4 linked regions of the Canis lupus familiaris genome follow. The protein of the gene in region 2 interacts with the protein of the main gene of each other region in a pairwise test. Links are inferred from orthologs where the notes say so. Each region holds a gene or a part of one and is shown on either strand. Other genes may lie near its edges. The genes, in order: PTPMT1, RGS20, HOXA1 and OTX1.

What was found.
Region 1: the proteins of RGS20 (region 2) and PTPMT1 interact in binary tests that used the Homo sapiens proteins (3 or more experiments, as listed by UniProt). The two-hybrid records come from large-scale screens. The link is inferred for Canis lupus familiaris from reciprocal best matches to the Homo sapiens genes RGS20 and PTPMT1.
Region 3: the proteins of RGS20 (region 2) and HOXA1 interact in binary tests that used the Homo sapiens proteins (3 or more experiments, as listed by UniProt). The two-hybrid records come from large-scale screens. The link is inferred for Canis lupus familiaris from reciprocal best matches to the Homo sapiens genes RGS20 and HOXA1.
Region 4: the proteins of RGS20 (region 2) and OTX1 interact in binary tests that used the Homo sapiens proteins (3 or more experiments, as listed by UniProt). The two-hybrid records come from large-scale screens. The link is inferred for Canis lupus familiaris from reciprocal best matches to the Homo sapiens genes RGS20 and OTX1.

Annotation. Positions count from the first base shown.
Region 1 is NC_049239.1:42,509,435-42,518,054, reverse strand, and holds the start of PTPMT1 (phosphatidylglycerophosphatase and protein-tyrosine phosphatase 1), read left to right. Parts: upstream 1-3,357; 5' UTR 3,358-3,385; coding exon 3,386-3,559; intron 3,560-3,671; coding exon 3,672-3,752; intron 3,753-7,007; coding exon 7,008-7,199; intron 7,200-8,620. UniProt on the Homo sapiens protein: Lipid phosphatase which dephosphorylates phosphatidylglycerophosphate (PGP) to phosphatidylglycerol (PG).
Region 2 is NC_049250.1:5,842,389-5,850,211, forward strand, and holds part of RGS20 (regulator of G-protein signaling 20), read left to right. Parts: intron 1-2,861; coding exon 2,862-2,870; intron 2,871-3,105; exon of another isoform or gene 3,106-3,190; intron 3,191-4,660; coding exon 4,661-4,975; intron 4,976-5,472; exon of another isoform or gene 5,473-5,967; intron 5,968-6,279; exon of another isoform or gene 6,280-6,304; intron 6,305-6,316; exon of another isoform or gene 6,317-6,403; coding exon of another isoform or gene 6,404-6,472; intron 6,473-6,661; exon of another isoform or gene 6,662-7,066; intron 7,067-7,823. UniProt on the Homo sapiens protein: Inhibits signal transduction by increasing the GTPase activity of G protein alpha subunits thereby driving them into their inactive GDP-bound form.
Region 3 is NC_049235.1:40,361,165-40,368,604, reverse strand, and holds the end of HOXA1 (homeobox protein Hox-A1), read left to right. Parts: coding exon of another isoform or gene 1-374; exon of another isoform or gene 375-1,743; coding exon of another isoform or gene 1,744-1,856; exon of another isoform or gene 1,857-1,998; coding exon of another isoform or gene 1,999-2,117; exon of another isoform or gene 2,118-2,210; coding exon of another isoform or gene 2,211-2,231; exon of another isoform or gene 2,232-2,339; 5' UTR 2,340-2,395; coding exon 2,396-3,041; intron 3,042-3,521; coding exon 3,522-3,877; 3' UTR 3,878-5,044; downstream 5,045-7,440. Other genes in the region: WAS/WASL-interacting protein family member 1-like, read right to left, coding at 1-374, 1,744-1,856, 1,999-2,117, 2,211-2,231. UniProt on the Homo sapiens protein: Sequence-specific transcription factor. Regulates multiple developmental processes including brainstem, inner and outer ear, abducens nerve and cardiovascular development and morphogenesis as well as cognition and behavior.
Region 4 is NC_049231.1:64,121,562-64,128,093, forward strand, and holds the end of OTX1 (homeobox protein OTX1), read left to right. Parts: intron 1-1,207; exon of another isoform or gene 1,208-1,609; 5' UTR 1,610-1,719; coding exon 1,720-1,816; intron 1,817-2,708; coding exon 2,709-2,860; intron 2,861-4,030; coding exon 4,031-4,849; 3' UTR 4,850-6,368; downstream 6,369-6,532. UniProt on the Homo sapiens protein: Probably plays a role in the development of the brain and the sense organs. Can bind to the BCD target sequence (BTS): 5'-TCTAATCCC-3'.

The sequences.
Region 1 (8,620 bases), on a different chromosome or scaffold from region 2:
ATGATCCTTGGGTCCTGGGATCGAGTCCCACATCAGGCTCCCTGAAAGGAACCTGCTTCTCCCTCTGCTTATGTTTCTGCCTCTGTGTGTCTCTTATAAATAAATTAATACAATCTTTAACTTTTTTTTAATTTTAAGTAATCTAAAGTCAATATGGGTCTTGAACTCACAAATCCTAGATCTAAAGTTGCATGCTCTACTGACTGAACCAGCCCGGTGTCCCTACTATGCTTTTTAAAAATGGTACATATAGGGGTGCCTGGGTGGCTCAGTCAGTTAAGCGTCTGTCTGCTTACAGCTCAGGTCATGATCCCAGGCTCCCTGCTCAGTGGAGAGCCTGCTTCTCCCTCTCTTCCTCTGCTGCTCCCTCTGCTTGTGCACACTCTCTGTGTCAAATAAATAAATAAAATCTTTTTAAAAAATTAAAAAAAATAAAAATGGTACATATAGACCACATAGTGTTATCATATGACCGAACAATTCCATTCTTAGGTAGATATCCAAGAGAAATGAAAATATATGTCCACACAAAAACTTGTATATGAATGTTCACAGCAGCATTATTCAAAATAGCTAACAAGTGTAAAAAGTCAAATGTCTGTCAACTGATAAATGAGGAAACAAAATTTGATATATCCGTACAACAGAATACTATTTGGCAATAAACCGTACAATGGAATACTATTTGGCAATAAAAAAATATAGTACTGGAGTGCCTGGGTGGCTCGGTTGGTTAAGTGTCTGACTCTTGATCTCAGCTCAGGTCTTGATCTGAGTCCTGAGATCAAGCCCTGAGTTGGGCTCCATGCTGGGAGTGGAGCCTACTTAAAAACAAAAACAGGGGATCCCTGGGTGGCTCAGCGGTTTGGCGCCTGCCTTTGGCCCAGGGCTCGATCCTGGAGTCCTGGGATCGAGTCCCGCGTCGGGCTCCCAGCATGGAGCCTGCTTCTCCCTCTGCCTCTCTCTCTCTCTCTCCTCTGTGTCTATCATAAATAAATAAATAAATCTTTAAAAACAAAAAAAACCAGTAGTGACACATGCTACAATATGAATGAACCATGAAAACATTATGCTAAGTGAGAGAAACCAGACTCAAAAGACACATATTGCAGTTCATTTACTTGAAATGTCTAGAACAGGCAAATCTATGAGACAAGTAAATTAGTGGTTGCCCAGGGCTGTGGGGAAAGGGGATATGGGACTTGGCCAGGGGCGGGGTATGAATAAATGATATGTTCTAAAATTGATTGGGGAAGGGCACCTGAGTGGTTCAATTGGTTAAGCTACCGACTCCTGGTTTCCACTCAAGTGGTGATCTCGGGGTCATGAGATTGAGTCCTGCATCCAGCTGCAAGCTCAGCAGAGTCTGCTGGAGATTCTTCCTCTCTCTGCCCCTCCACCCACTCTTGCTCTTTCTCTAAAATAAAAAAAAAATAAAATGTGATAATTGTACAGCTCTGAATATACTAAAAACTATTGAATTGTACACTTTAAATGGGTGAACTGTATGGTATGTGAGTTGTATCTCAAAGCTGTTACAAAAAAATTTTCTAGTGGTACAGTTACGAAATTGAAGGAAAAATACATGTAGGGACACCTGGGTTGCATTGTCTGAAGGTACAATGAGCATCTGCCTTTGGCTCAGAGAGTGATCCTGGGTCCGGGAATCGAGTCCCATATTAGGCTCCCTGTGAGGAGCCCGCTTCTCTCTCTGCCTATGTCTGTGCCTCTCTCTCTCCCTCTCATGATAAAAAAATAAATCTTAAAAAAAAAGAAAAAGAAAAAGAAATATATCTGTGGTGGTGAAATTATGGATAAGTAGAGGGGCACCTGGGTGGCTCACTCAATTCAGTGTCATCCTTCCACAGAGGTCATGATCCCAGGGTCCTCGGACTGAGACCCTAGAAGGCTCCTTGCTCACCAGGGAACCTTCTCCCCTGCTTGTGCTCTCTCACTCTCTCTGCCAAGTAAATGAATGAATAAATCTTTAAAAAAATATATGGGTAATTCGAGTAAGTTCTACTTCCCTGTATTTTCCAATTGTTATTAGTATCTATTACTTTTTAATTTTTTTTCTTAAGTAAACTCTAATCCCAAGGTGGAGCTTGAAATCACAATCCCAAGACCTGCATGCTCCACTGACTGAGCCAGCCAGGCGCCCCAAGTATGTATTACTTTTACATGGAGAGAAGAAACTTTTTTTTAAAGAAAGTACCAGACGCCAGACGCCTGGGTGGCTCAGGGGTTGAGCGTCTGACTTTGGCTCTGGGGGTGATCCTGGAGTTCCAGGATCGAATGGAGTTCCACATCGGGCTCCCTGCAGGGAGCCTGCTTCTCCTCCCTCTGCCTGTGTCTCTGCCTCTCTCTGTGTCTCTCCAGAATAAATAAATAAAATCTTAAAAAAAAAAAAGTACCAGACGCAAATAAAGAGCATCAGATGTAGGTTCCACTTAAATGTAAATAAGCAGCATCACAACCATTCCTCTTACCTCTCTGTAGGTTGTGGTTTTTACGTTTAAGCTTATCACAATATGTTCTTAATTTATCTTCATAATTAGATTTTGTATATATGTTGTTAGAGATTTTATTTATTTATTCATTCATTCATTTATAGATCTTTCATTCATTCATTTACTTATAGATTTCATTTTTTTATTCATGAGAGACCCAGAGAGGGAGGCAGAGACACAGGCAGAGGGAGAAGCAGGCCCCTGTGGAGAGCCCGATGTGGGACTCGATCCCGGGACCCCGGGATCACGACCTGCGCCAGAGCCACCTCGGCTTCCCTAGAGATTCTATAGATACACTTTTTCTTCATACTCACACACCCTGGGGTTCGGGCAGGAGGAGGGCGCAGGGAGTCCAGGCAGATGGGGAGGGCGGGACCCCGTCCGCCCTCTCCGCCAAGGTAGCCCCGGCCTAGAAGCTCAGCGCCCCTTCTTCAGCCCTCCCCTCAGGGTCTCTTCCCCGACGGGTCTCCCCTCGGGGGGGTCGCCGCCCCCTCCCTGCGGCGCGGGCCTCCCTCGGGTGGGGGGAGGCCGCCGGCCGCGGGCAGGGGCCCCCGTGTCTCGCCCGGCGGAGCCCCAGGCCTCGGGCCCCGCCGTCCCGCCCGCCTGGGACTCCCCGGGCCCTCCCCTCGGCCGGCGGCCCCTCCTCCCGGACCATGGAGCCCGGCGCGGGCGCCTCGGGCTGCGCCGCCGAGCGCCGAGAGGCCGGGCCCGAAGCCTCGGCGCCGGAGGGGCCCGCGGCGACCGCGGCGCCTTCGCGGGAGGCGGCGGACGAGTGGCCGCCCTCGTCCCCGTCGCCCTCGGGGCTCCTCTCGCGGCCGCGGCCCGCGAGCCTCGGCGTGGGTGAGGCGCGGCTGCCTGAGGCCGGCGGCGGCAGGATGGCGGCCGGCGGGTTGCTGGAGGCCGGCCTGGCCCGGGTGCTCTTCTACCCGACGCTGCTGTACACCCTGTTCCGCGGGAAGGTGCCGGGCCGGGCGCACCGCGACTGGTACCACCGCATCGACCCCACGGTGCTGCTGGGCGCGCTGCCGCTGCGGAACATGACGCGCCGGGTGAGCGGCGCCGGGGGGCCGGGCCGGGAGGCCGGGCCGCGGCGGACCGGGAGCCGGCGAGCGCCGCCCGCGCCCCCGCGGCCCTCCCTGAGCCCCGTCTTTGCCTCGGCAGCTGGTTCAGGACGAGAACGTGCGCGGGGTGATCACCATGAACGAGGAATATGAGACGCGGTTCCTGTGTAACTCCTCAAAGGTGAGGGGCCGGGGGCGGCCGGGGGCGGAGGGAGGCGTCGCCGAGCACCCGGCCCCTGCGGTCGTGCCCCGGGCGGCTCCTCCGCTTCGGGAGCGGCGGCCGGAGGTAGAAACTAATCGTGAAAGAGAAACCCGTGAGAAAGGCGTTTAAAAGTAGAACCAAGTCTGACTACTCCTTTATGCACAAAGGTTTTCTTAATTTCCGGAACTCGAGTCAGTAACCAAATCGGAAGGCCGCTTTCCCAAGGCTTGCTGATTGCATTCATTCGACACTTAGCGCTGCCGGGCAGTCCGTGAGGCACCCAAGACGGAGACCCTATAAACCAAGAACAAAAGCCCCCTCTCGGTCCCCAAGGGTAATTTATCATAAAACAATCCCTTGAAAAATTATACAGGCTTCAATTTTTGGCATCGACTTGAGGGAATTGTTATTCTATATGTTAATGATAGAGTGGAAGTGTTGTCACAACAGAGTTCAGACCTAAAACAATTTTTTAAAGATTTTTAAAATTTTTTACTTATTCATGAGAGGCACATTGAGAGAGAGAGGCAGAGACACAGGCAGAGGGAGAAGCAGACTCCATGCAGGGAGCTTGACGTGGGACTCGATTCCGGGTCCCCAGGATCAGGCCCTGGGTAAAAGTCAGTGCTATACCGCTGAGCCACCCGAGTTGCCCCCTAAAACAATTTTCACTAGGTTTCAGTGCTTGTGGAACTCTCCACAACAGTCATCAGACATGGCCCTATCTTTATATAAAGATGTTGCCCTGAGACGCCTGGGGGCCCAGTCAGTTAAGCTTGGAACTCTTAGTTTTTCCCTCAGGTCATGATCTTAGGGTTCTGAGATCAGCCCTGCCTCTGGCTCCCTTTTGGGTGTGGAGCCCGCTTAAGACCGCCCGCCCCCAAAATAAATAACGATGTTGCCCTGTCTTTATTGCATTTGACATCTTTTAGCACTCACTACATAGTCCTCTTTCTTGTTTACTGTTGATATAGCCTGTTGAAGATGCTGTTACTTCAACTGATAGTTTTTGTAACCTTAGAAATGGACTCACATTTAAAATATATTCATTAGTAATGACATACATTTCTACGAAATCGATAAGTTTCTTGGATTTCCCAAAGTACTTTGCTACAAGGTTTCAGGAATTATTAGCCAAAATGTTAAATGTTCCTTAGTGTGGTCAGTCCTGTGGAGTAAGAGTCACAAAAAATGCTTGGTCTTTGGGTCTGAGGCATTGACACTTGTATGATGCAGCTATAGTACCCAACTAGCCTAGAGAAAAGAGATCTCCAAGGCAGTGCTTCTCACATTTTAATAAACATAAATATTATCTGGCAGTATTCAAATAGCAGATTCCTAAGTACAACCCCCTAGAAATTCTGATTCAGGAACTTTAGGGTGGGGTCCAGGAATCTGAATATTTAGCAAATATTCAGGTATTTCTGGCATAATGGATACAAAGCCCCATGCTGCAAAATGCTGTTCTTTTGTTAATTTCATGAGCAGTATATGACCTTCCCTCTGTCATAAAGTCTTAAGTCATAAAGTTCAGCCAAACAAATAACCAAAAGAAAATTAAATGGGGCAACTGGGTGGCTCAGTTAAGCCACTGCCTTAGGGTCACGTCATGATCTCAGGGTCCTGGGATCAAGCCCCATGGTGGGGCTCCCTGCTCAGCAGGAGAGCCTGCTTCTCCTTCTCCCTCTGCCCCTGATGGTGTGCTCTCTCTCTCAAATAAATAAATGTTTTTTAAAAGAAAAAAGAAATAAGCAGATTAATAACTATTAGCTGGAGCCTATCTGGAGTTTTGTTTTTGTTTTTGTTTTTTTTTTTAAGATTTTATTTATTCAGACAGAGGGGCAGAGACATAGGCAGAGGGAGAAGCAGGCTCCTCGAGGGCAGCCCAGTGCAGGACTTGATCCCGGGACTCTAGGACCACGCCCTAAGCCAAAGGCAGATGTTCAATGACTGAGCCCCACCCAGGCGTCCTTTTTTTTTTTTTTTTTTTTTTTTTTTAAGATTTTACTTTTTAAGTAATCTATACCCAAGGTGGGACTTGAACTTACAACCAGATCAAAAGTCACATGCTTTACTGACTGAGCCACCCAGGCATCACCTTATCTGGAGTTGTCAGGCAAAAAATTAAAAAATAAAAATAAATTTTATTGATATGCCAGAGGCCTTATTTCTCCTGTTGCTTATTCTTTTCTTCTGAAGTGATAATGTACTAACAAAGATAGGTGTGTTGTTTTATTTTTATTATTACTATTTTTTTTAAGATTTTATTTATCTGAGAGAGAGAGTATGCGTTCACAGGAGAGCACAAGTGGTGGAGAGGGAGAAGGAGGCTGCCCGTTGAACAGGGAGCCTGATGTGAGGCTCAATGTGGGGCTCAATCCGAGGACCCTGGGAGCACAACCTGAGCTGAAGGCAGATGCTTGCTTAACTAACTGAGCCACCCAGGCACCCCAGGTGTGTTAATTTTGAAATGGTAACTTTATTTTCTACCATGTACTCTCTCAAAAAAAAAAGTGGTAAAGAAGAGACTTATAGACAGAAAAATAGAAAGCTCTTGCAAAATTCAGTAGCCCAACCCTGCAGCTGGGTCACTGCACAGGTGCCAAGATTATGCAAAAAGTTACACAACTTTTGTAGATGAATTTTATACAGCTAATATTTTGTAGCTAAAGATTCAAATACGGGTGTCTGGTTGGCTCAGTTGGTTAAGCATTTGTTTTCTGTGCAGGTCAAGATCTCAGGGTATTAGGATCAAGCCCCCACATCTCCCTGCTGGGTGGGGAGCCTGCTTCTCCCACTACCTCTGCCTGCAGCTCCCCCTGCTTGTGCTCTCCATGCATGTGCTCTTTCTCAAATAAATAAAATAAAAAGATTCAAATACCCAAAGGGTACTTTTTTTTTTTTTTAATTATTATTCATGGGAGACACAGAGAGAGAGGCAGGCTCCATGCAGGGAGCCTGATGTGGGACTCAATCCTGGGACCGGGGGATCATACCCTAAGCTGAAGACATGCTCAACTGCTGATTTACCCAGGCATCCCCCAAATGGTACTTTGGGAACATTTAAAATCTTGAACATAATTCTAACTCAGTAGCACAGCTGTTGTTTGATAAAAGACCAGCAATGCGGGTTATCCATTTTATAGACATCTCTGTAAGAAGTTTCTTGTTTAGAAAATAGTAAACATCAGGCTTTTTTCATTCTTTTTTTTATGCTGGTGGACCTGGTTCCAGGAATGGAAGAAAGTAGGAGTCGAACAGCTGCGGCTCAGCACAGTAGACATGACTGGAGTCCCAACCTTGGCTAACCTCCAGAAAGGAGTCCAGTTTGCTCTCAAGTACCAGTCGCTGGGCCAGTCTGTCTACGTGCATTGTAAGGCTGGGCGCTCCAGAAGTGCCACTATGGTGGCAGCATATCTGATTCAGGTAGGAAAGGTCTTTCTGGACTGGTTTATATACAGCATATTTCTAGAACTTCAGTAGCATGGTCTACTGAAGGCCTTGTTGGAAGGAGCCATTTCAGGCAGTCCCCAATATCAGGCTGTTGGGAGGTGGAAAGCACCTGAAGTTTGTAGATAGGCTGACCTCTGGCTTTGCCACCTGCCAGCTGTGTGACGTTAGGCAAAAGTGGCGTCCCCTCCCTGATCCTCAAACTAAATATGTCTTGAAGCTTGAATGAGAAAGAATGTCAAGCACTGACCTATGGCAGGCACTCAAAAAATGAAGTTGCAAAAGATGTTAACACTAGTAAAAGGCTAAAATAAAAACACTTCTTATAAATAGCATGTCAGGAAATCTAGTATTGTAGATAATAGTGCTGGTCACTTACAGCTTTGTAGGACTCAAGATTTCCTTTTTTTTTTTTTTTTTTTAAAGATTTATTTATTTATTTATTTATTTATGATAGGCACAGAGAGAGAGAGAGAGAGAGAGGCAGAGACACAGGCAGAGGGAGAAGCAGACTCCATGCCTGGAGCCCGATGTGGGACTCAATCCCAGGACTCCAGGATCGCGCCCTGGGCCAAAGGCAGGTGCCAAACCGCTGAGCCACCCAGGGATCCCCCGGACTCAAGATTTCTTAAAGTAAAAAAAAAGTAAAAAAAAAAAAAGATTTCTTAAAGTATTTCAGGATAAAGTTCTGGACATCAGTTTTTAGAAACAGGATCTAACCGAATTTTGTCTATCACTTTATGATTGGCAAGTGTGAGGCTTTTAAAACTATTTATAAGCAAATATTCTCTAGTCATTACTCCTTGTTACACAACCCCCAACATGACTTATTCTTATTACTGTCTGGCCCCTGTAGAGCATTTACTAAGTTATGTGGATAGTTTAAGGAAAAAGGAAATGTTGAGGTAACAGGCCTGGCTTTGAGTTGCTGTGGACTGGTAAGTACGTGATTTAACAATATTAAAGCTTTGATCATTAGGACTCCATTTACTGGAAATGGGTTCTCAGGAGGATATTTTGGACTTAGGGAGAATTGACGCAGCTGGGGCTGAAATCTGTAGTTTCTTGCTTTTGTTGAGATCTAAACCAATAGGTATCATTAGGGATACAAAGATAACCCTCCCACTTAAATCTAAAACCCTCCTACTTAAATCTAAAATCTATTCAACTTGTCCCCTTAGTCATGGGGACAAGTTGAATAAAAACATCTACCATATACTCTCCCCAGGAAACTTATAACCAACAGCCCAGCTCCCAGAGGACATCTAATAGACCTATGCAGGCTTGAATTTAGATCTCAGCTTTGCATGTTAAACCTTCTTTTTCCAGGGTTGGAAAGAAAGACTGACTTTTTCCAGGTTTGGCAGAAAGACTGACTTGCCCCCCCACCCCCACCC
Region 2 (7,823 bases):
AGACAGATGATGACAGAGAGTAGCAGGGAGAGGATAGAAGGAAAGGGGATGGTGAGGGAGTGGGAGATTTATCTTAAGGAATTGACTCATTCCATCATGTTGGCTGGCAAATCTCAAATCTGTAGGGTAAACTGGCAGGTTGGAAATTCAGGTTAGAACTGATGTTTCAGTCTTGATCTAAAATCTGCAGGATAAGTCAACAGGCTGGAAACTGAGGCAGGGTTTCTTTTTTTTTTTTTTTTTTTTTTGAGGCAGGGTTTCTATGTTTCAGTCTCGTGGCCAGATTTCTTGAGACGGAGAATCTGTTCTATGCCTCTTCCTCATTTCTGATGGTTAGTTGGCAATCTTTGGCATTCCTTGGCTTGTGGATGCGTCATCTCCATCACTGCTTTTATTTTCACATAGCATTCTCTGTGTGTGTCTGTGTCCAAATTTCTCCTTTTTTATAGGGATACCAGTCACATAGGATTAGAGGCCCATGCTATTCTAACATGACTCATCTTAAATAATTATATCTGCTCCATCCTATTTTTAAATAAGGCCATATTCTAAAGTACTGAGAGTTAGGGAGTTAGGACTTCAACATACGATTTTGAGGGAGACTCAATTCATCCTATAACACAGTGATAACTGTGAATGTAAGAAGCAGGGATACTCCAGTGGTTTTGACCTGAACTGAAATGATCAAGTGGCCATTCACCGAGGTGGAGCAGAAAGTTTGGAGTGGAATACCAAGAGTTCAGTTTTGTGTATAATCAAATAAATATATGTACATAGATTCAAATAAAGACCCACCTCCTATATTAAGCTCCTCACTTGGTTAAGAACACCAGCAGGAAGGCAAAGGGCCCAGTTATCTCTGAAAGAATTGAGCAGACAGCCTGCAGTGTTTCCCTCCCCCAGACATGCCTGTCACCTAAGTAGCCCTCATTTCTGGTCCCCTCCGTTCCCAGTTCCACCCCCCCTCCTTATTACCAATGCTCCAGTATGTAACATCTACTTGTAACACCTCCATGTAAGCCCTAGGCATAGACCCACTAGAAAGTTATTAAAAGAATGAAGTCAAAACTAATTATGAGCTACAGAGATATTCTTTTTAACAGTTGTACTTTCACTAAGAACATCAAGATTTGAAGCAGAACCTAATAGAAACATCATTGTTTGGTTGGCCTCAAATTAATATTAACCTGTGACTCTACTATCCATGATCTGTCTATCTTCTATCTTGCCATTTTCCAATCTGCATGATTTAAAGTCAGCACAAGCAAAGACTTGCCGTATTAGACTTTTAAATCATTGCCAATTAGATTCTTAGATCCAAGTGGAGGAATTATTTCTCCAAATAATGAAAAAATAAAAATGTGTAATATGGCTAAATCAAAGCAAAACAGAGGTTAAAAAAAAGGAGTCCAGAAAAAAAAAGGTCCTCTCATAAAATTAAATCTAATTTCAAATTCCATCCTGTGATTTTAATTCTAAAGTCTATCAGAAATTTTTTATTAAAAGTAGTTTAATCCTGCCATGAATGCTTCCTTTATGAAATGATGCTATTTAGGGGTGAATGCAAAACTTCAATTTGCCTTTTAAAGGGGTGAGACTTTGTGTATATTGATTTGGGTGTGGTGATTTTTTTTTTCCTCTGCAGGGTTCGTAGCCAATATGATTAAGTAGGGAAGGGGATATTCGATCTTTATAAAGTATTCCCTAAGTCTTCTGGATCCCTAAGGAGTGATGCTTTCAGTAATACAGATTCCAAGATGATTTCATTTTGTGCAAAATGTTAGTGAAACCCTCAGACTGTCATCTAGAATCTGGCCTAAAAGGAAGACAGGGATTTCTGGAGCACGGCAGGCAGCAGAAGTCTTTCCTCAGATAATTTTATCAGATCAAATTTTGTGGCTCCACTGACACTTCCAGGGCTCTGTACTTGCCAGGAGAGCCAGAGGGAGTAGGATTTCAGCACCCTACACTATCATGCTTCATCCCCCTGCTTGTTAGAGAAGCCAGTCGTCCCTGCCCAGACTTGCTCTGACTGCGGCGTGTCCAGACACAAGCCAGAATTGGAGAGCAGACCTGAGAGAAAAGACCAACCTAGGGAAGGGTAAAAGCTGACTGTCTCCAAAGGAGCAGCGGAGCAGGGGCTTTGGTTTTCTGGGGCTGAGTTTGGGACTTTTATTCTGCCTGAACATTTCCACTATTTCCCTCACAAGCGTCTCTGTCTTGAAGCAAAGACCGAAGCAAAATGCCTAATGAAGCGTGCGGGGGGGGGGGGGGGGGGGGGGGGGGGGGCGGCGGGGAGGACGTGCAAGTGACTTGGGAAGAAGGACTTGGGAGGAGAGAAGGGTCAGGTTATAGGTTCACACATTCTCACAAAGCCATTTGAAAATATGAGCTGGAGATGCAAATTCTGGGACCCACAGAAGTCCCGTGAAGCCTCCTTTGGGCCCTTAGAAAGTGTACCTGTTGCTCATTTCCAGCGATTTAATCTTTGCTCAAGCCTTTCTATGAAGGCTGGTCGGAAAAGGTCGCTGGCGGGCTTAGTCAGGCTCTGGGTCACCACGGATTGAACCGGTTCTTTCTTGACTTCCTCTCCATGGGGTCCTTCAGGCCCCCGTGCCCGCATCCGCTTAGGTTTTTGCTGTCGTCCGGCAGCTCACCCGAGACGGACGCGGCCACGGCCACTGGCCCACCATCACCGGCAGGTGCGCACGAAGTGAACTGCGATCAGTCCAAGTCCAGCTGCCCGCGGCGTCCGAGCTCGCTTGGCGCCTCCTGAGCACCCACCCCAACCCCAGACCAAGGGACTCGTCCCTGCCTCCTCCCCCGCGAGACCAAAGCTGGGCGCCGAGGCCCGCTCTGAGTATTTTCCAATTCTCTCATTTCCCCACCTCCCCACCTCCCACCCCGCCCCCCGCCTCGAGTGCGCTGTTGGCCCTCCTCCAGGAGCCTCCCGGGCTCTCAGCTCCAATCCCTAAAATAAACGCACGGTGCCAGAAAGCAGGGGAGGGGAAAGAAGCAATTGAACGGAGAGAATGAAAATTCTAGGAGAAAGACCCCATTCTCCAGGAAAAGGTAATCAGGGGAAGCGAAACAGTGTGAACTTACTCGGAAATGCAAACCGAGCTCCACTCTCTCCCCGGGCGCATACAAACGACCGAAAGACAAATCGGCCAACGCGCTCGGCGGCTTCCCAGAAAGGGCCTCATGAATGAGAATGGGTTGCTAGGTTTCCTCCCTCCCTCTCGACAATTGCTTCCCACAAGACTTCTACCGCCCAAAGAAAACATGCGGGGCCTGCCAACTGCGGAGCAGGGGGAACGCAGCCAAGCCCACGGAGGCCGCCCGCGGCCGCTCCCGCCTTCAGGACCCTGGAGAGCGGCGGCCGCGCCCTGGGGACTCGCTTCCCGCCCCGCTAGCCTAGCCCCCTCCCGTGCCTCGCCACCCTGTCACTTTTATTCGCTGCTTCCCGCCTCCACCTTCCAATTTCTTGGCAACCACCACTCTTGTTTTTCACAAACAGATTAAATTGTCTTTTTGTTTTGCTTGAGGGTGCTGTTTGTATTGGCTGAGTTAGGTTCTGGATTGTAACTTCTCTAAATGTTAGTGGACCGTGAAGCTCTAAAAATGAGACCTGACTAGGCAGGTGACTTTAAAAAGCCAGAGTTCAATCCCTTTACTCTATAAATGAAGCAGATAAATTCAAAGAATAAAGAGACTTTCCCAAGGTTAAGCAGTGGACTTAGTTGCAAGGCTCAGTCTAGAACCTTGGGTTTCTGACTTCTAAATTAATGCCTCCCTCTACTTTCAAAGAAAATAATAATAATTTTACCTTCACACTGGCTGTTTTGATATCCCACGCAACAAGTGGAAGGTGCAAAGGCCTGTGTTCCTGAGAATAAGATGGACACATGAGAGTGTGGAAAGGGGCCCTGCATAGTGTGCACTTATGAGACCCAAAACAGTCCTAGTATCCTGCCCACTCCAACGTGTACAGCCAAAGCCAAATCAGCCAGTCCCTTGTTCCACCCAGCCTTGGTCTCGGATTGCTCAGTCCTCTGCCATTAATCAGTTCTCCCCTAGACACCTCTCACAAGGGAACCTAGTAACCAAGTCTAACTTCTATGACTCAGCAGGGAGAACTCTAGGCACTTTGGGAGGTGGGAAAGGTCAGAGGGAAAATGGGAGATGAGCAAGAGTTGCAAAAGTGAATTTTCATTCACTAGGAAATCCTAAAGAACCAAGAAACACCAATACAGACGCTTCTTTACACTGCATCTCACATGTAAGGTGCATACAAACCCCACTGGGAATGTTAACATTCACATGTTGATGCTCTAGTTCAGGACAGGGTTCCAGATTCTGTATTTCTGACCAGCTCCTGGTTGTTATTGAAGCTGCTGGTCTAAGAACCACACTGAGTAGCACAGAGTTTAGAAAGGGGGGAGGGGAGGGGGGAGGAGAGAATAGAGAAGGAGAATCTAACCAAAGGCCTTTCCCTTTGCTCTCGCCTACCTTCTCTTGCACCCCCAAAATACAGCCTCAAAATGCTGTAGCAAATGATAGTAAATACACATTTTCTTCTATCTGTAGCTAGAGCCAACAGTAACGGTGTGTTGATTTTGTTTCTCTCCCCCTACCTCCTGCCCTGCCTGCTGCCGACCCTGCACAGCTCCCAGACTCGCCCGCTGCCCCGAAGCCGCTCAGCCTCCTGTCTGGCACGCTCTCTGGCCTCGCGCGATTCTTCTCTCACCTTCTCCGGCGACCCCCTTCTGGGACTCCCCAGCGGCGCCCGGACTTCTCCCTCCTGCTTTCCGTTCGCTCTCTGCCAGCGGCTAGGCTCTCGCGGGGCCACGGGGAGCGGCCAGGCCGCCTCTCGCTCCTGCTGGGGGCAGCTCTGGCCCTGCCCAGCCGACCCCCGGGGGGCCGCGCGCCCAGGGAAGAGGACGCCTGCGCGGGGCAGAGCTCGCCCGTGCCCGTGAGTACTGTGGTCCCCAGCACGCCCCACCCCCGACCTCACCCGGACACGCGCACCCCCAGCTCCCTCCTGACCCCGACTGACCCCTTCCGCGCCGGGCCAGCAGGGGCTCCGCCGCGAGGGGCCAGAGCGGGAGGTGTGGGGGCAGAGGCAGAGAGTTTTGGTGGGAAGGTTAAGAGAGGCTTGAGCACGTTCAAGGAAACGGCGCCGGCGCCTCGGCTGACACTCCTTTTCGCAGCGGACCCCGGTAGCTACTTTTCCTGGACCTTTTCCATCCAGTGTGAATGGAAGCAGTGGAGGCGGGAGGGAGTCCTCGCCCTTCCTGAGGCTGCTTCTCAAACTCTCCTTCTTAACGTGCGGCTCAACCCCTTGCTCCGAGCCTCCCCGCAACGCGCCTCCGCCCCTCCTCGCGCCCACTCCCCTGCCCTCTGGCCGTCCGCAGGCTCTGGAGGCCGGGGAGGAAATGACGTGATGCTATTTCTGTGTCAGGTCAGCTTCCAGCTTCAGTTTGGCCCTCCAACCTCCTGCTCGGGCCCCGGCGGTCCGTGCGCGCCTCGCTCCCGAGGGCGCACAGAGGGGCCTACGGGGATCCCCGGGGCTCTGTGCCCCAGGAGCTGAGCTGCCGCGTATTTTCCGCCCCGCCCCCAGGTCTCTCCCTACGCCTGGGGCTCGGAGACCGGGGGACGGCAGGCAGCTGCCAGGGGGCTCAGCGGGATCCGGAATCCGGAGTTAGCCAAGCGCCTCGCCCCTACCCCCACCGTCGACCTGGTGGGGCCTCGGGCTGCGGCGGCCGAGGGCGTGGAGCTCGTCGCCAGTGAGGGACAGGCAGAGGCATCACCAGGGTGGGACGGGGGCAGAGCTCGGAGAAGCACCCGAGGCGAGGAAGAAGGTAGGGGGCTGCCCTCCAGACGCCGGGTGGTCCGCCGCGTGACTCTCCGGGGCTGGAGCACCCCCTCCGCTCGCACCTCCCTCCGCCCGCCTCCATTCACCAGGTCTGAGCACGCGTCCCCGCACTACCGAGTCTCGCTCGGCCCGCGCGCGCCCAAGCCAAGGGGGGCAGAGGCGATCTGCAGGCGCTCGCCGCGCTCGCCTGGCTTAGTGCCGGCACGCCGGGCTCGGCCCAACCGCGGGCTGGGGGAGTGGGCTACAGCCCCGCCGCCGGCTGGGGCCCTCCGGGAGCCCGGGGCGACCCCAGCCCCCGCCGCAGTGGAGCGCGCTGCGGCAGCAGGGAGGCGAGGCCGGGATTGCCCGGCCGGGGAGGCGGGGGGGGGAGGGGGGGGCGGGGGGGGAGGAGGCAGAGCCGAGGGAGCCCGAGCGACGGAGAAGAAGGTGAGAGGAAAGACCGAGGCGAGCAGTCGCGGGCGAAGTAAAGCTACCAGGTGGTATTGTAATATTTAAAAAAAAAAAAAAAAGGCACCCACTAGACGCATGCGCACGGCCGACCGAGGCGAGCTGGCCCGAGCTTCCCCTCCGGCTCGCCCAGCGGACGGCGAATTCGTGAGTACCGCGACCCTCGCCCCCTGCCCCCGCTCGGACTCGCTCGAAGGCCTCGGGCTGGGAGGGGGCGGCGGCCAGGCGGGGCGCGCCCGCAGGGCAGGACCGGGAGCTGTCGTCGGAGCCGCGGTGGCGGGAGCTGGTGCGGGTCGGTCGCCTCACGGCCCCTGCAGCCCCGCAGATCGGTCGGCGCGTCCCGGGGGTGCCCGGGCTCACAGTGTGTCCTGGGTCTCAAGGGGGGCGTCCAGCCGCCGGCATCAGCTTTGCCGGGTCCACCGGGACGTCCGCACGACTCAACCACGGCGGCCTGGGCTCCAGCCCTGGAAGCCTCCCGAAGTAGGCTTGGGGAACTCCGGGCGGTGGGAACGTCGGCATCCTCCGCGGGCCGCGCAGCCGGAGCGCCGGCGGGGGGGGAGGAGACACTCCCTGGATCCCGGAGCCTCCGTAAGAAAAGCGCCGCCGGGGCGGTGGCGCCGGGGAGCGGGTCTGACCCGGTGTCCGCATTCAGGCTCCCGGAACCCGCCGGGAGCGCCCAGGCGCGAGGTGCGGGCGCCGCGGCTGCTGCTCTTGAACAAACCCCGGCGACTGAGTCTCCGGGTAAGTTGGGACGTGTCCCCGCGGCGCGGCTGCGGACCCTGGAAGGGGCGTGGGCGCGCGGGGCCGGGCCGGTCCCCGGCCGTGGGGGGTGGGCGGGGAGGGGCCCCGAGGCCCCGGGGGGGTTGCGCGCCGCAGCGGGTGGGCGCCTGCGGGCGGGGCTGGGTGCGCAGCCGGGGTGGGCGGGAACCGGCGGGCACCGGGCGAGCGCGGCGAGTGGGCGGGGACGGGCCCCGCGGGAGGCGGCGCTCCCAGGCAGGAGTGGGTGTCTCGGAGTCGCCGGCTGCGGGGCGCGGGGGGCGGGGGGCGGGTATGGGGGAATCCGGGCGAGCGCGCGGCCCGCGGCGGACTGGGCGGGCTGGAGGGGGCAAGTGAGCGCAGGCTCCATCCGGGAGCAGTGGGGCGCCAGACGGGGGAGCTCTTTCCTGCTTCTCCGGCGGAGGCCCCCGGCCCCTTCGCACCCCGGCTGCCGCACTTCCCCGGGCGCCCGCGGCGCGGGCCGGACGCCTCCCGCCCTCCAGGCCGAAGCAGGCGGCCCCTCGCCCGCTGGGCTCCGTCTAGCGTCTGCGCCCGGGCGGGAGCGGGGGGGGGGGGGGGGGCAGGGAGCTTCCCGCCCCAATCTCCAGGCGTCACCCTCGGGTCGCTCCCCCTCCCCCGGGCCCAGGACCCTGCGTGGCGTGGCTTCATTTTGCTTCTCGTGGTTACGGTTAACCACTTAACTTCTAGTTAAGATTATGGAATTGACTAAACCAGGATCCCA
Region 3 (7,440 bases), on a different chromosome or scaffold from region 2:
AGTGGAAGGAGTGGAGCGCAGAGGCCGAGAACTAGCAGAGGAAGGGGAGCGATTGCGGCCCGGGGCGCTTTGTGGCGCGAGCCCTGCGGCCAAGGGGGTTGCGCAAACCCGGGCTGAAGAAGCCAACAAAGGAGTGAGGCCAGGGGAAAGGACGTCCTTTGGTTCGGAAGGCAGATCGTCCGCAATGCCAGCACGGACCCTCTCACGTTCCACCTCCTTCCCGACAGGAGCCCCTCCTCTCCCCGTCGCTGGAAGCCTGGAGCTCCCAAAGAAGCCGCCTCCAGAAGGGCCGCCTTTCCTTTTCCCTTCTCGAAGATGAACGTCCCCAGGTGCTGAAATTGGGGCAGGAGTGACCTTTCCTGTCCATGCTCTCTCTTAACCGGGGTTGGGGATAGGTCAAAGGTCATTGAAAAATACCATTTCAAAAGGAAATGTTGGGGGGGAAATGTTTCTTTGCTACTGAGGGAATCCGTAGTCTGACTTCTGCAAGAGTTTCCCCTGGGGGAAGGGGCGACTTGGGAGGGGGGAAGCCTTCTATAAGTGGAGAACAGGATGGAGAACCCTGAAAGGTTGACTAACACACTTGAAATGTGCCTGCCTCGAGCAAAACTTTCTTCTTCTAACTGGGGAAGGAAAGCTAGAGGGGAGTGGGAACCCCATCCTCAAATTACTTTTATCTGTTCGATTCCGATGTGGTACACAGGGTCAGAGACAAATCTATGCTGCATTGGCTGCAAAGCTTCTTGGATGATCTCTGGATTTCTTTTACCTAAGAATGCATCAATCCTCGGTCTCAGTTTGGCATTTTCTCTCTACAAGCCAAGGGTTGACACGAAACCTAATAGTAAACAGCAATTAACGACCCCGTCAGCATCAGGGTAGGATGAGGGTGATGGAAAACAGGACCCCTGGCCTGGGATGACGCTCAGATTTGCACGTGTCTCTCTAGGGAAAGACTTGAAGGTTCACACAAGGAACTACACAGGCAGTTACAAAGGGGAGGAGGTGTTGGGGAAGAAGAAAATATCCCGTCCACCATCAGCCATCTGTCCCCCGCCCCTCCCACCTGCCAGCCCCTACCCCCCACCTCAGACGTGCAGTAGAAAGGGGAGGGGGCGGTCAGTGGATAAAGGAGGCCCTACCACTCCCAACATCCCCCCTGCAGAAAACGAGCACCGTTGCGGGGGGAGCTCAGCGTATTTTGTTGGAGCTGCGGGCTCGCCCTTTGAGGCCCCTGCCGGAGCGCGCAGACTCCTGGGTCCGGGGGAGCCGGCAGATGGCCTGCAGCGCACCGCCCGGCCCCCACGCTGGCCACGTCCGCTAGCGTCATCTTTCTCCCCCGCCTCCAACCCTTCAAAATCCCGCGGCCGAGCTGCTCCGGATCCCGTAGGGCTCCCGGAGCAAAGCCGAGTGGGGAGGAGAAAGGGGCGGAGAGCGAGGAGAGAGGGAGGGCGAAGAGCCCGGCCACCCCCGGCCTTTTCCGGCCAGCTGAAATACTACCAATCACCCGCTCCCGGGCGTCGAATTACAGAAGCTTCTCATTGCCTTGCTAATAATGTTAGGGTGGAGGGAGTAGGGTTCGGAGACCCTCCTTGGAGAAGGGAGGGTTTTTTTTGTTTTTTTGTTTTTTTTCTCCCTTGCTCTTGTCCCCTCCACGCCCACCTGGGGTCCTGCAGGCCAATCCTCTGCCCACTTCCCTCTCCCTTCCGAGCTTGAAGAGCTGGTGGCCCAGCCTCGTCCTACGCCACTGTCCCCTGGGCTTCTCGCTGCCCCGGCACCGCAGCAGGGACTGTGGACTGAAAAGCGCCCGGGGAGCTGCCGTTCCTGCTCCGCGCACGGCGAGCTCGGGCCCCGAGCTGGTGGCAGGGCGGCGAGCTCTGGCCCGCTGGTTCCCGACCCCGGAGAGACGGAGCCCTCTTCCCTTCTCACCTCTCGCCAGTTCATCTTTCTGTGCTCGGTGGGGAGGGGGCGGAGACGGGGATGCCTCCCAGCCCCCACCTCCCGGAGGGGGGGAGAGCGCAGTCGGCGCGCGCAGAGGGTGGCGGCTGCTCCCCTTCGGCCCAGCGCTCCGAATCTGCCCCTGCAGCCGCCGCAGCTGCCGCCGCCGCCTGGGCTGCCTGGGGGGGCGACTGCGCGTCACCTAGACTGAGCAGCGCCGGGGATTTAAATGCCACTGAAACGGTGATCCATCACCGCGGGAGCCAGCAAACTTTCGCAGGAGGCTCCGCCATTGGCTGGCGGAGTCACGTGCCCCTCCCCCTGCGCCCTCCGCCCTCGCGCCCCCCCTCTTGCGCACTGTACATTCATATCATTTTTCTTCTCCGGCCCCATGGAGGAAGTGAGAAAGTTGGCACGGTCACCCAGGGCTTCGCAGGACCCGGTCCCTCAGTGACAGATGGACAATGCAAGAATGAGCTCCTTCCTGGAATACCCCATCCTCAGCGGTGGCGACTCAGGGACCTGCTCAGCGCGAGCCTACCCTTCCGACCATGGAATTACAACTTTCCAGTCGTGCGCGGTCAGTGCTAACAGCTGTGGCGGCGACGACCGCTTCCTAGTGGGCAGGGGGGTGCAGATCAGCCCGCCCCACCACCACCACCACCATCACCACCCCCAAGCGGCCACCTACCAGACTCCCGGGAACCTGGGGGTGTCCTACTCCCATTCGAGTTGTGGTCCAAGCTATGGCGCGCAGAACTTCGGCGCGCCTTACAGCCCTTACGCATTAAATCAGGAAGCAGAAGTAAGTGGTGGGTACCCCTCGTGCGCTCCCGCAGCTTACTCTGGAAATCTCTCATCTCCCATGGTCCAGCATCACCACCACCACCAGGGTTATGCCGGGGGCGCGGTGGGCTCGCCTCAGTACATTCACCACTCATATGGACAAGAGCACCAGAGCCTGGCCCTGGCCACGTATAATAACTCCTTGTCCCCTCTCCACGCCAGCCACCAAGAAGCCTGTCGCTCCCCTACATCAGAGACCTCTTCTCCAGCACAGACCTTTGACTGGATGAAAGTCAAAAGAAACCCTCCCAAAACAGGTCAGTCTTGCCATTCTTTGGATGTTCCTTGATGGTTCTGGAAGGAGCTAGTTTGCTTAGTTGCCAAGGAAAATTAATACTCAAGAAAAGTTCTTGCTTCTTCCCACCGGTGTTGTAGGGTGTGGAGAGAGTGCCCAGGTGTATCGGGGCAAAGGAGCATCTGGGAGTGTTGTGTTTCCCAAGAGGCTGAGTTTTAGAGGTTCTGGAGTAGGAAGTGGGTAGGGGTGTGTGTTTGTGTGGTGGTTGGGGGGTGGTTCTGTTAATATCTCCAGGCTCCATTAATCACCAGTCTGACCATGCAAATGGTTGACTTCAGATTAACACTTTACACCTCATCAGTCTCCTTTCCCAGCCCAGTTTCTGTTGAGAAATTCTTGATCTCCCCTTTACCTGAATGTTGCTCTGAAGCATATAGGGGATCTCATATGGACGGTAAAAATTTTTATCTTTCTCTCTCATCGCTCCCCACCATGTCCCCAGGGAAAGTTGGAGAGTACGGCTACGTGGGTCAACCGAATGCAGTGCGTACCAACTTCACCACCAAGCAGCTCACCGAGCTGGAAAAGGAGTTCCACTTCAATAAGTATCTGACCCGCGCCCGCAGGGTGGAGATCGCAGCATCCCTGCAGCTCAACGAGACCCAGGTGAAGATCTGGTTCCAGAACCGCCGGATGAAGCAGAAGAAACGAGAGAAAGAGGGCCTTTTGCCCATCTCCCCTGCCACCCCGCCAGGAAGTGAGGAGAAGGCGGAGGAATCTTCAGAGAAATCCAGCTCCTCGCCCTGCATTCCGTCTCCGGGGTCTTCTACCTCAGACACTCTGACTACCTCCCACTGAGGCCCACCCAGCCCCAGACTCCGCAACCCAGGCTACTCTGAGGGCTGGGGACTTCTTACCCAAAGCACATTCTTAGCTTATCTTCCCTTCCATTTACAGTCTCTCTCTTCCTTTCTGATCCTATCTGGGGAGCTCCTGGCCAGAACAGTGTGTTTCCAGAGAATTCTAGATTAGAGGCTTGATTGAGGTGTGTGTGTGTGCTAACTCCTTGATGCAGATTAGGTGCCATAATCAATTTTTTGACGGCTCCCAACACCCCTCCCTACTTTTGGAAGATTTCCACAGAATCTGTTCCTTTTAGATGTCCTTTGGAATATAGTCTCCTTTGCCAGCAGAAACATGTCAGAGGGAGGCCTATCTTTTACCTATCTGTATATTAACAGTTCTCCCCTACTTTGCCCTTAAAGTAGGATAGAGAGAAAGGAGAGTCCAGGAGCTCATAAAGAAGAGATGCACTATGAGCGTGTTTACACAATTAATTCATCCCTTAATTTAATTCAATTTCATGTGTGTGTTTGCTGGTTGTAAATACTTTGTCCTGAGAGATTTATCTTTATACAGATTTTCTAGAAATGTTTAGATTAAGTGATTAAAACAGGGTGGGTAACTCAAAGCTGGTACAATTTTATATGTGATTATAGGTTAAAGAATAAAATTGCTTACTTAAACTCAGTCAGATGCCTCAGAGGGTAGCCTGCATTTGTTCTTTTGGTGAGTTAGGAAGACCTAAAAAACACAAGGTTCGAAAACCTTGCTTCCTGTGCTAAGTCTCTCCCCATCCCCACCCCATTTATTGTTTCTCTGGCCACACTCTATTTAAAATTTGTGCTGGGTTATTCAGAACCTAAAGGTATTATTCAAGCCAGCTTCTTCCTTCCACAGTTATCTTTGCTGGATATGATGTATTTTCAGCTCACTTGTTAATGTGATGGATGGCACAATGAATGTATATTTTGTGTGATTCGTGAATAGTCTTTTGCATGTCGCACAATGTTTTCATGTCCCTGAAGTACCACACTGAGTTATATCAGTTATTCTTTGTGAGTCTATGATATTCCCCCTTTCCTGTACAATCATGAACAGCTCTGTGATCCTGGAGTAATGTGATCCAGAGCAGAGTTTACGGGTCTTAAGATGTCTGTAATAAATATATTCAAGTTTCACATATGCTTAAGCATCCCTGTATTTGGCTTGGCTGCAATTTGTTGGTTCCAACAAGATTGGCTCATTTCACATGGTTGCTGGGGAAGGGTGGTGTGCACTTTCAGAGGTGGGCCTTTCCTTGAAAAAAAAGTAAATGGCTTTCCATTATGTAGCTGAAACTTCCCCTGTGAGTGTCATGGCACCTAGCGAATGCCTATTTAATAGGTTGACTTTGTTTAAAATAACAATAGTTCCTTTATTATAATCCAAGTTCATAATGGAAAAAAATGGATGGTGAAGAAATTTATAAGGCAGATCTATTTTTGAAAGAAACATGGATACTTCCTGGGTCAAGTGCTAACCTTTTCACCTCCAACTGAATGTTGACGTATGTATAAACAGAACGCCCTTCAAAAGCCCAAACTCTTCAGTCCGTCTTTCCTCACATCAGTGAACCAAGAGCTAAGGGATTCACATTTAATGAGCTCCAGTATAAAGCTGTTTGAGGGCAAGGCCTCCACTTTAACCCTCTTCTTTTTCTGCTTGTCAGGCAGTGTTCCAGTATATTCCATCCTCTAAATCGAGTATGGTCTGTTTTCAGGAAACCCTTGCCTCTCTCCTCCTGTCCCTCCTGTCAGTACCCTTCCCTTCCTGCCACTCTCTACAGGCCCTCCTGCCCAGCTCCTCTGGGTTACATATCTCATTCCCATCAGATTCAGCTTTGATTTCATAGCCTCCTCGGCTGTAATGGGTCTGCTCTAATCCATAACCCAGTTCTAATCCCCTAACCCAGAAAAAAAGTTTCTATTTTCTTCTCTGGGCTCGACAGATGCTTCCAGCAGTTGGAATATAGTCTCCTTTGCCAGCAGAAACATGTCAGAGGGAGGCCTATCTTTTACCTATCTGTATATTAACAGTTCTCCCCTACTTTGGCCCTTAAAGTAGGATAGAGAGAAAGGAGAGTCCAGGAGCTCATAAAGAAGAGATGCCTGGAAGTCCTTCAATATTCAAGTTGTTTCCAACCGAGGCAAGTGTCTGCTCTCAAACAGAGGAAGCCAGCAAATCAAAGTGTTCAAAATGGCTCTCCTCCCAGATCTCTTACCACTTTTCCTTCGCCTTCGCACATTTTCAGAGGCTTTAATTGAGCTCCAAGGGTAGAGCAGAGATACAGCATCACAAATACAGGCATATGACCTTCTTCCTCTACAAAGGGTGTTTCACAAAGGATGGGCTGGCAGTGGGAGGAGAAATCCTACAAAAACTTGGAATTTGCAGGTCTCCTCGAGCACCCATGAGACTTCCTGTACTTCCCTGTCAAAGGGGGCAAGCCTGGACTTTGCAGGCGCAGTTGTGCGGCCATATCAAGGGCACCCGCTGCCCTCCCCTTGGCTCTTGGATCCTGGGCTCTGCGGTTGCCTCTAAAAGACTCAAGTGGATGGAGAACTTCAAAGTCGGCCAACTCTTTCTTTCATTTCCCACCCTGGCCTTATACAGTATCTTTTGTTTATTAGTGTAAGGCCACACAGCAAAACAGATGGCTGGTTTCCAAATTCTTTAATGTGTTAAAGTGTCATTTGCATGCCACTGCCGTAATTTCAATATCTAAAAGCAGGGCCGGACCCGCTGGAATCCTGGAGATTCCAGTCTTCGAGGTGCTGGTTTTAATGCAGCCGAGAAAGGGGAGAACAATAAATTATGGCTAAGCATCCAAAGCCTTCTCTAGGTCGTGGAATAAATCAGTTAACAAGCAATGCATTTAGGAAACATTAATATACCCTTCAACAGGAAAACATTTGTATCTTTTTAGTTGTCCCAATCGATTAAATCAGAGGCGCTTACCACATCCTATTTCTAGGTCTCTTTTTTGTTTTGGTCTCTCAGGAGCATGGTTGGTTAGCTCCCTGAAAAATGACAGCAATGGTGACTGAAACAACAAAAGATAGAAAACACAAAAATAGCACTTTAGTGATATATATTAAAAAAGGCCAAGAGTCTCAGTAAGGGACTGGGGGTAATTGTAAGACAAAATTCCAGTTTTCAATCGCTTTCTCCTCACTTCCTTCACACTCGTTCAAAGTACTCCCGAAATTCAGGGTGTCCCCAACCTGGGCTGAGTTGAGATCTTGCTCTTGGCTTCACCTTTGAAAGTTTACTTTTGGAGGCTATTCAGATGCGGTGGTGTTTTCCTCTGGGGCAATCAGATTCAAACCGATCAATATTTACTCAGTCTGAAAGGGTTGTTGAAAAGGCTGCTAACAACAAACTGCTTAGCTGCTCACCCCTGTTTAATCTCAGGTTCACTGAAAGTTCAAGAAGAGATGAATGCAGTGATGGGTCACTTTAGAATGAGTCCCAGCGGTTTATCTGAGCTCTCAGCTAAAGGCAACAATTATAGTTCCATCCCTCTTTGGGAAAGGGGC
Region 4 (6,532 bases), on a different chromosome or scaffold from region 2:
GCAGACAGCCGCGGGGCCGCCCTGGCTCCGGGAGCGCGCCGCCTGCTCCCACCCCGGCCCCCGAGCCGGTCCCCGCTTCCCAGGTCCCCGGCAGGTGGGCGGGGCTGGGGGGCGGCCTGGCTCCCCTCCCGGCGCGCGGAGGACCCCCGATCCCCGCCGCGGCCCCGCGGCCCCTCCCCCGCCTCCTCCGAAGTCAGCGAGCTCAAGTGCTAAGTTTGAAGAAAGTCTCTGGAAACTCACGCTGCAGCTCGGCAGAGGCGCGGCGGCCCGGCGTGCCCCCCTCTCTCTGGGCCCCGGAGCCCCGGGCTGCCCCTCCTTCGCCCCCCTTTCCCTGCCAGCTGGGGTCCGCCAGCCCAGACCGTGGGGCCTGGAGGAGGGGCGCGGGAGGCCGCCCCGGCTCTCCCCGCCCTCCCCGAACTCCCCAGCCCGGCCCCGGGCCTGCTTTGAATCCCCCGCGACGCGGGGTGCAGCGCAGGGTCCCCCGGGGCCGCGGCCGCGCCCCCCAGCTCCACTCCCTGCCCCTGCGAACGGCGCCGCGGGGGGAGGCGAGCGGGGAGCCGGGCTTCGACCTGGCGGCCCGGGTCAGCCGAGCTGCGCCGCCGAGGCCTAGTCGCGTCGGCCCTGGGCAGGGTCCTGGGCCGCGGGCCGGGCGGGCGGGATAGGCCGGGAGCACGCGGGGGCGCGGCGCCCGGGCCTCCCCGATCCGCGACCCCTCGGGGCGCCGGGCGGGCCGCCCTCCGGCCTCCGCCCGGGCCGCGCTGTCCGCAGCCAGCAGCCAGCAGCCAGCAGCGGGCAGAAAGCAGCGGCGGCGGGCGTTGTCGGGGAGGGGGCCTGCGGCGGGGCCTGGGCGCCCCTGACCCCCCGCCGCGCCCTGGAGCCCCCGCGGCCCCCGCGTCCGCGTCTCCTGGCCGCCGTGGGCCCGGGCCTGTTACTGTGGCCCAGGTGTGCTGGGCTCCCCGGGGAGCGGCCTCTCCGCGGCCGGGCGCAGGGAGGTCAACTGGCAGGGTGGCCGTGGGCTCGGGGGCCCAGACCCAGCGGGGACACCCTTGCAGGAGCGCACCCTAAGTGGGCCCTGCCACCCGGAGAGGCCCAGGTGCCGCTAGCCTCCCGCGGCGCCTCACCTTAGCTCTCCCCGACCCTCCACCTTTTCATCCCGCTTTTCAAAAACATTTTGAAACGAAACGAAACAACCTCTGGTGCCCTGGGCAGCCTGCCTCACTGGCGCCGAGTAAACGTTTGCTCTTGCAGTATGGAGGCCGGCTCCTACCCGACCAGAATTTGGCCTAGACTTGGGACCTTGCACGCCGGGCGTTTTAGGCCCTCACTTTCCAGCTTGGCCCTGCTTTTAGCCTCTCCGCACTCCTAGCGACGCCCTACGAGGGTCTTTTACCCATTCCACGCCTGAGAAGAGGCGATGACGATCCAGAAAAGCTGACTTTTCAAAGAAGCTGTGGTCTTCCGGCCAAGGCCTTGTAGAGCCAAGCTGACCGCCCTTCCGAGTTCCGCAGGCCTGCGTGCCCTCCCCAGCCCCCGGCTGCTCGCCTCCGACGAGACCAGGAAACCGAGATGGCTCCCAGTCACTGTTTACCTGTGTCTCCTGTCTCCATAGGCCGGGCCCCCCGACGCAGCAGAGTTTGAAGGACTGCGCAGTGGGAGCCCCGCACTGCGCCTGGCCCCGGCCCCCTGGATCCGTCCGGGCGCCTCCACCCGGCTGTTAGCATGATGTCTTACCTCAAACAACCCCCATATGGCATGAACGGGCTGGGCCTGGCCGGGCCAGCCATGGACCTCCTGCACCCTTCCGTGGGCTACCCGGGTGAGCACCAGTCCCTGCCCCCAGCCCCTGCAAATCTTGGGGACGCCCAGACTCTTGAGTTTGAGCGCACACTCGGTGTCTGAGCAGGCCCGGGGAGTGGGATGGCGGGTCTGCCTGCAGTGCTCTGCACGCCGCAGGCTCACAGGGCAGTGGCGGGTGCATGAGGCAGGCCAGGCCAGTGAAGCTGGGCAATCTGTCTCTTGTGGTCCCACCACCAGCACAGGGCCCACTTACCCAAGGATTCGTTTCTCATGGGTGGCTTTTTTGGGGTGTGTGTGTGTGTGTGAATCTATTCCTTTCCTCCCAATGTTGAAAGAGAGATTTGGACACTCTCTAGGCCCTGACAGGAAGGGCCAGGCTTTTCTTATGAGAAGTGACTGGCTGAGACGAAGAAGAGGGGCTCTCCCTCCCTAATTGAATTGTCCTCTACATCCGCTGTCTGCACCAACTTTTGCACCGTGGATGTGGAAGGCTTGAGCCGCCTCCTCCCCGCCCCAGCTCCCGCTCCTTCATCTCCACTTGTTCCCTCGGAAAGCGTTTTCCAGGTGGTGTGTCTGCGCACCCCTTTCCCATCCTCCAGCCAGGGGATGTGTTGGGGGGGAGGTGGTGAAAGAAGGGGGATTGTATAACTTCTTTTCCTTTCTTAACCTCCGAGAGGCAGGGAAGGGGGCAATTCTGGAGTCTTGACGACACTGGTTCCCAGTCGCACACATGCACTTTCTCCCACCTGTGGCCTCTCAGGCTCGGCCTCCTGGGGGAGTTTTCTTTCGCTTGGAGCTTGGCTTGCTTTTGCAACGGCCTCGCACAGAGCCCTGCCGGGGGCCTGTCTGCGTCGTCTAGCGCGGTCCGCGTGGCCACCGCTGACCCGAGGCGCCCCCGCGTGTCCCCTCAGCCACCCCGCGGAAGCAGCGGCGGGAGCGCACCACCTTTACACGCTCGCAGCTGGACGTGCTGGAGGCGCTCTTCGCCAAGACTCGCTACCCTGACATCTTCATGCGCGAGGAGGTGGCGCTCAAGATCAACCTGCCGGAGTCCAGAGTCCAGGTGCGCGTGCCCAGGGCTCCGGAGCCGGGCCGGGCCCTGGGGCAGCGGGCCGGGGAGGGTCGGGACGGCGGCGGGCGGCGGGCGGTGGGGCGGTGGGGCGGTGGGGCGGTGGGGCGGGCCCGCGGCTGGCCAGGCCCTCTCCGACTCCCCCTAGCGCCCGGCCCGGCCCGGCCCGGCGAGGGGCCCCGCTGGAGGGCCCGCTCCGAGCCCTGCCCTGGCCGCCTCCCGCGGCCGCCTGCAGCTGGGAGTCCTCAGGCTGTCGGGAGGGCAGGCGGGGCTCCCGAGCGCCAGGCGCCCGGGGTGCGGAGTTGGGCCTCCGCCCTCGCCCCGCGTCCCCGGGATCCTGGAGGCGGCCGAGAGGGGCTTGGCCGGAGCCTGGCGCCCTGTCGGGGCGCGCCCCCGGGGGTGGCGCAGGTTTGGGGAGACGCTCCCTTCGCCCCGAGAGGATGCCAAACGCAAAACCCGGCTACGGGCCTTGCTTCTGATTTTTTGCGATAAAAGTCCTGTTTGGATTATAACTCCGACCTCTCCTCAAGGGCCTTTTATCTCGCCTCCCTTGCCCTCGAGGCCCGGGAAAGAACCGGGAGAACGCCCTAGCCCTGTGCCGGGGCCCTCCAAGGGGCGTGAGAACTTTGTGCCACTTGGCTCCCCACTTGGAGCCAAGACGCCCAACGAAACTGTGCTCGGGCTTGCTCCCGGGGCGCCCCGAGGGCACGGCCTCTGGTCGGCCTCCCCGCCTGCCGCCGCCGCCGCCCAAATTCCCGCCTGGCCCAGGCCGGGGCCTCCGGGCCCCGGCTGGCTCCCCCTCGGACGCGGTGGCCGCCCCGCCCCGCCCCGCGGTGCCCCTCGCGCCTCCGCCGCGTCGTGCGCCCTGTTCAGAGAGGACGGGCCTCCCCGCGTGCGCGGGGCTGTTGGGGAGCGGCCAGCAGCAGCAGCAGCAGCAGCTCAGAGATGCCTGGACTTCTGGCTGGACGGACGCGGACGTCCCGCCCGGGGGCGGACTCGCGCTGGGGGTGGGGAGGTGCACAGCCCCACTTCCCGGAGGATCTTCCACCAGGAGGATGGGGCGGGTGGCGGAGCTGGGCCCGCGGGGCGGGGGCTGGCCCGGCCGGGCGGCGCGCGAGCCCCGGGGGCCCCCTGACCCGCTCTTCCCTCCTCGGGCCGCTGCAGGTCTGGTTCAAGAACCGCCGCGCCAAATGCCGCCAGCAGCAGCAGAGCGGGAGCGGGACCAAGAGCCGCCCGGCCAAGAAGAAGTCGTCCCCGGTGCGGGAGAGCTCGGGCTCGGAAAGCAGCGGCCAGTTCACGCCGCCCGCCGTGTCCAGCTCCGCCTCGTCCTCCAGCTCGGGATCCGGCGCCTCCGCCAACCCGGCGGCGGCCGCGGCGGCAGGCCTGGGCGGGAACCCGGCGGTGGCCGTCCCGTCGTCGCTGAGCACGCCGGCCGCCTCGTCCATCTGGAGTCCGGCCTCCATCTCCCCGGGCTCGGCGCCCGCGTCGGTGTCGGTGCCCGAGCCCCTGGCCGCGCCCAGCAACGCGTCTTGCATGCAGCGCTCGGTCGCCGCCGGCGCCGCCTCGGCCGCCGCCTCTTACCCCATGTCCTACAGCCAGGGCGGCAGCTACGCGCAGGGCTACCCCGCGCCCTCCTCCTCCTACTTCGGCGGCGTGGACTGCAGCTCGTACCTGGCGCCCATGCACTCGCATCACCACCCGCACCAGCTCAGCCCGATGGCGCCCTCCTCGATGGCCGGCCACCACCACCACCACCCGCACGCCCACCACCCGCTGAGCCAGTCCTCGGGCCACCACCACCACCACCACCACCACCACCACCAGGGCTACGGCGGCTCGGGGCTCGCCTTCAACTCCGCCGACTGCTTGGATTACAAGGAGCCTGGGGCCGCCGCCGCTTCCTCCGCCTGGAAACTCAACTTCAATTCGCCCGACTGTCTGGACTATAAGGACCAAGCCTCGTGGCGGTTCCAGGTCTTGTGAGCCCAGGAGTGGAAGGAAGAAGAGAAGAAACGCAACTACCTGCGCCCTCCGTGGTCCCCGTCCTGTTGCTGCTGCTGCACCGCCCGCCTTTGCCTCGGCTTCTGCAGACCTGAATTTTCACGCCCCTAAAAGATGCCCTTTGCCTGCACTGCCGCCCTCCTCGTTCTGCCACTTGTTTGGGGGATGTGCAGACCCGCCCACCCCTCGGATGAGGAGACCGGTGCCCCGGCCTGGCCCACAAGTTCTGCCCACGTGGGGAGGGCTGTGCGCTCTCCTCCTCCTCCAGCCCCAACGAACTCCTAAGCCGCTCTCTTCCAGTCTCTCTGGGCAGTCGTTATGCACTTGCAGCCTTCGGAGGCTCGTTGCTCTGACTCGCTGTTTGAGCCCTACACTTTTATTTATTCTTTCTGGACACTGGAGTCACTAACTGGCATGTGTCTGCCCTTTGGAGCGCACCCCCACTCTGCCCCAAATCAAGACAACTTCTGAGTGTTTCTCGATTGCAGACTACCGCTCCCTCGGCTGCCCTCGGCCCCGCTCCCCGCCTGCGGGCCAGACCTTCCGCGCGCTTTCTCCTCCCCGGCGGGCTGCGCTGGGACAAGGCCCCAGGGAGGAGCGCGCCCCCAGCCTCTCGCGCACAGCCCCGCCCTGCGTAGAACTGGCTCAAGCTTCCGCCTCGGCGGGAATGCTGTACATAGTCGGGTCCGTTCCAGGGACCACTTAAACTTTTTAGTTGCTGTTGGTTGAACTGAACATATCTCGTCTTAGCGCCCAGGAAATAGAACTCTAAGATATATACAGCATATATATACATATATATACACACATATATATAAAACAAAAGCAAAAAATATTTTCCCTCTGTCCCCCTTCCTCTCTCTTCCTTAAACGATGGCGCTTTTATTTTTTATTTTTTTTTTTTAGTTGTTGCAAAGCTGACATGCCCTCTCACACCTCCTCCCTCTGTGTATTTATTAACGAGAACCTTCTGGTTCCAGGAAGCTGGGCGCTGAGGGTCGGGAGGGTCCAGAGAGTGTGGAGGCAACAGCCAAGTCAGGGTACAGGGGAGGGGGCTAGGCCGGGCGGGGACGTAGGACCAAGCCCTTCCCCAGGTCGAAGCACAGGGTCGTCCAGTTCTGGTTTAGAGACCAATCACAAAAGAAAACAAAACAAAATAAACAAAACAAAAAACAAATAAAAAATACGGCATTAAGGAAAAACCAACCAACCAACCCAGGCCCCAAGCCCCAGTTCCAATTCCTCTGTCGGCTTCTCTCTCTTTAAACAACCCTGTTTTGTCTAGTGAGTTTTTAGTGCACCTTCTTCCTCCGAAATCTGCGGAGAGCCCCGCGCCTGTGTATCAATTTTGGCTTTGGCCTTTTCGTCCAGTAGGTGGGAAAGTAATTTGTAAATTTGATTTGTCCGATGTGAAGATCACAAATTACTTGTTGAAATGTAAGGCAGTCCCCCTTCCTCCCCCTTTATCTACATTATTTCCCGAAAATAAATGCAAATTAATGAACGGCTTGTCAGTGTTGCTCTTCTGATTCCAGCCCCAGGTCCTGGTCTCGGGGAGCCTAAAAGGAGGGGAAACTCTCGAGTTAATACCCTCGCGTGTTAATGACCTGTGTGAAGCAGGAGGCCGAACGATAGGGAGGGAGGAGTGTCCAGAGGACGTTCTCT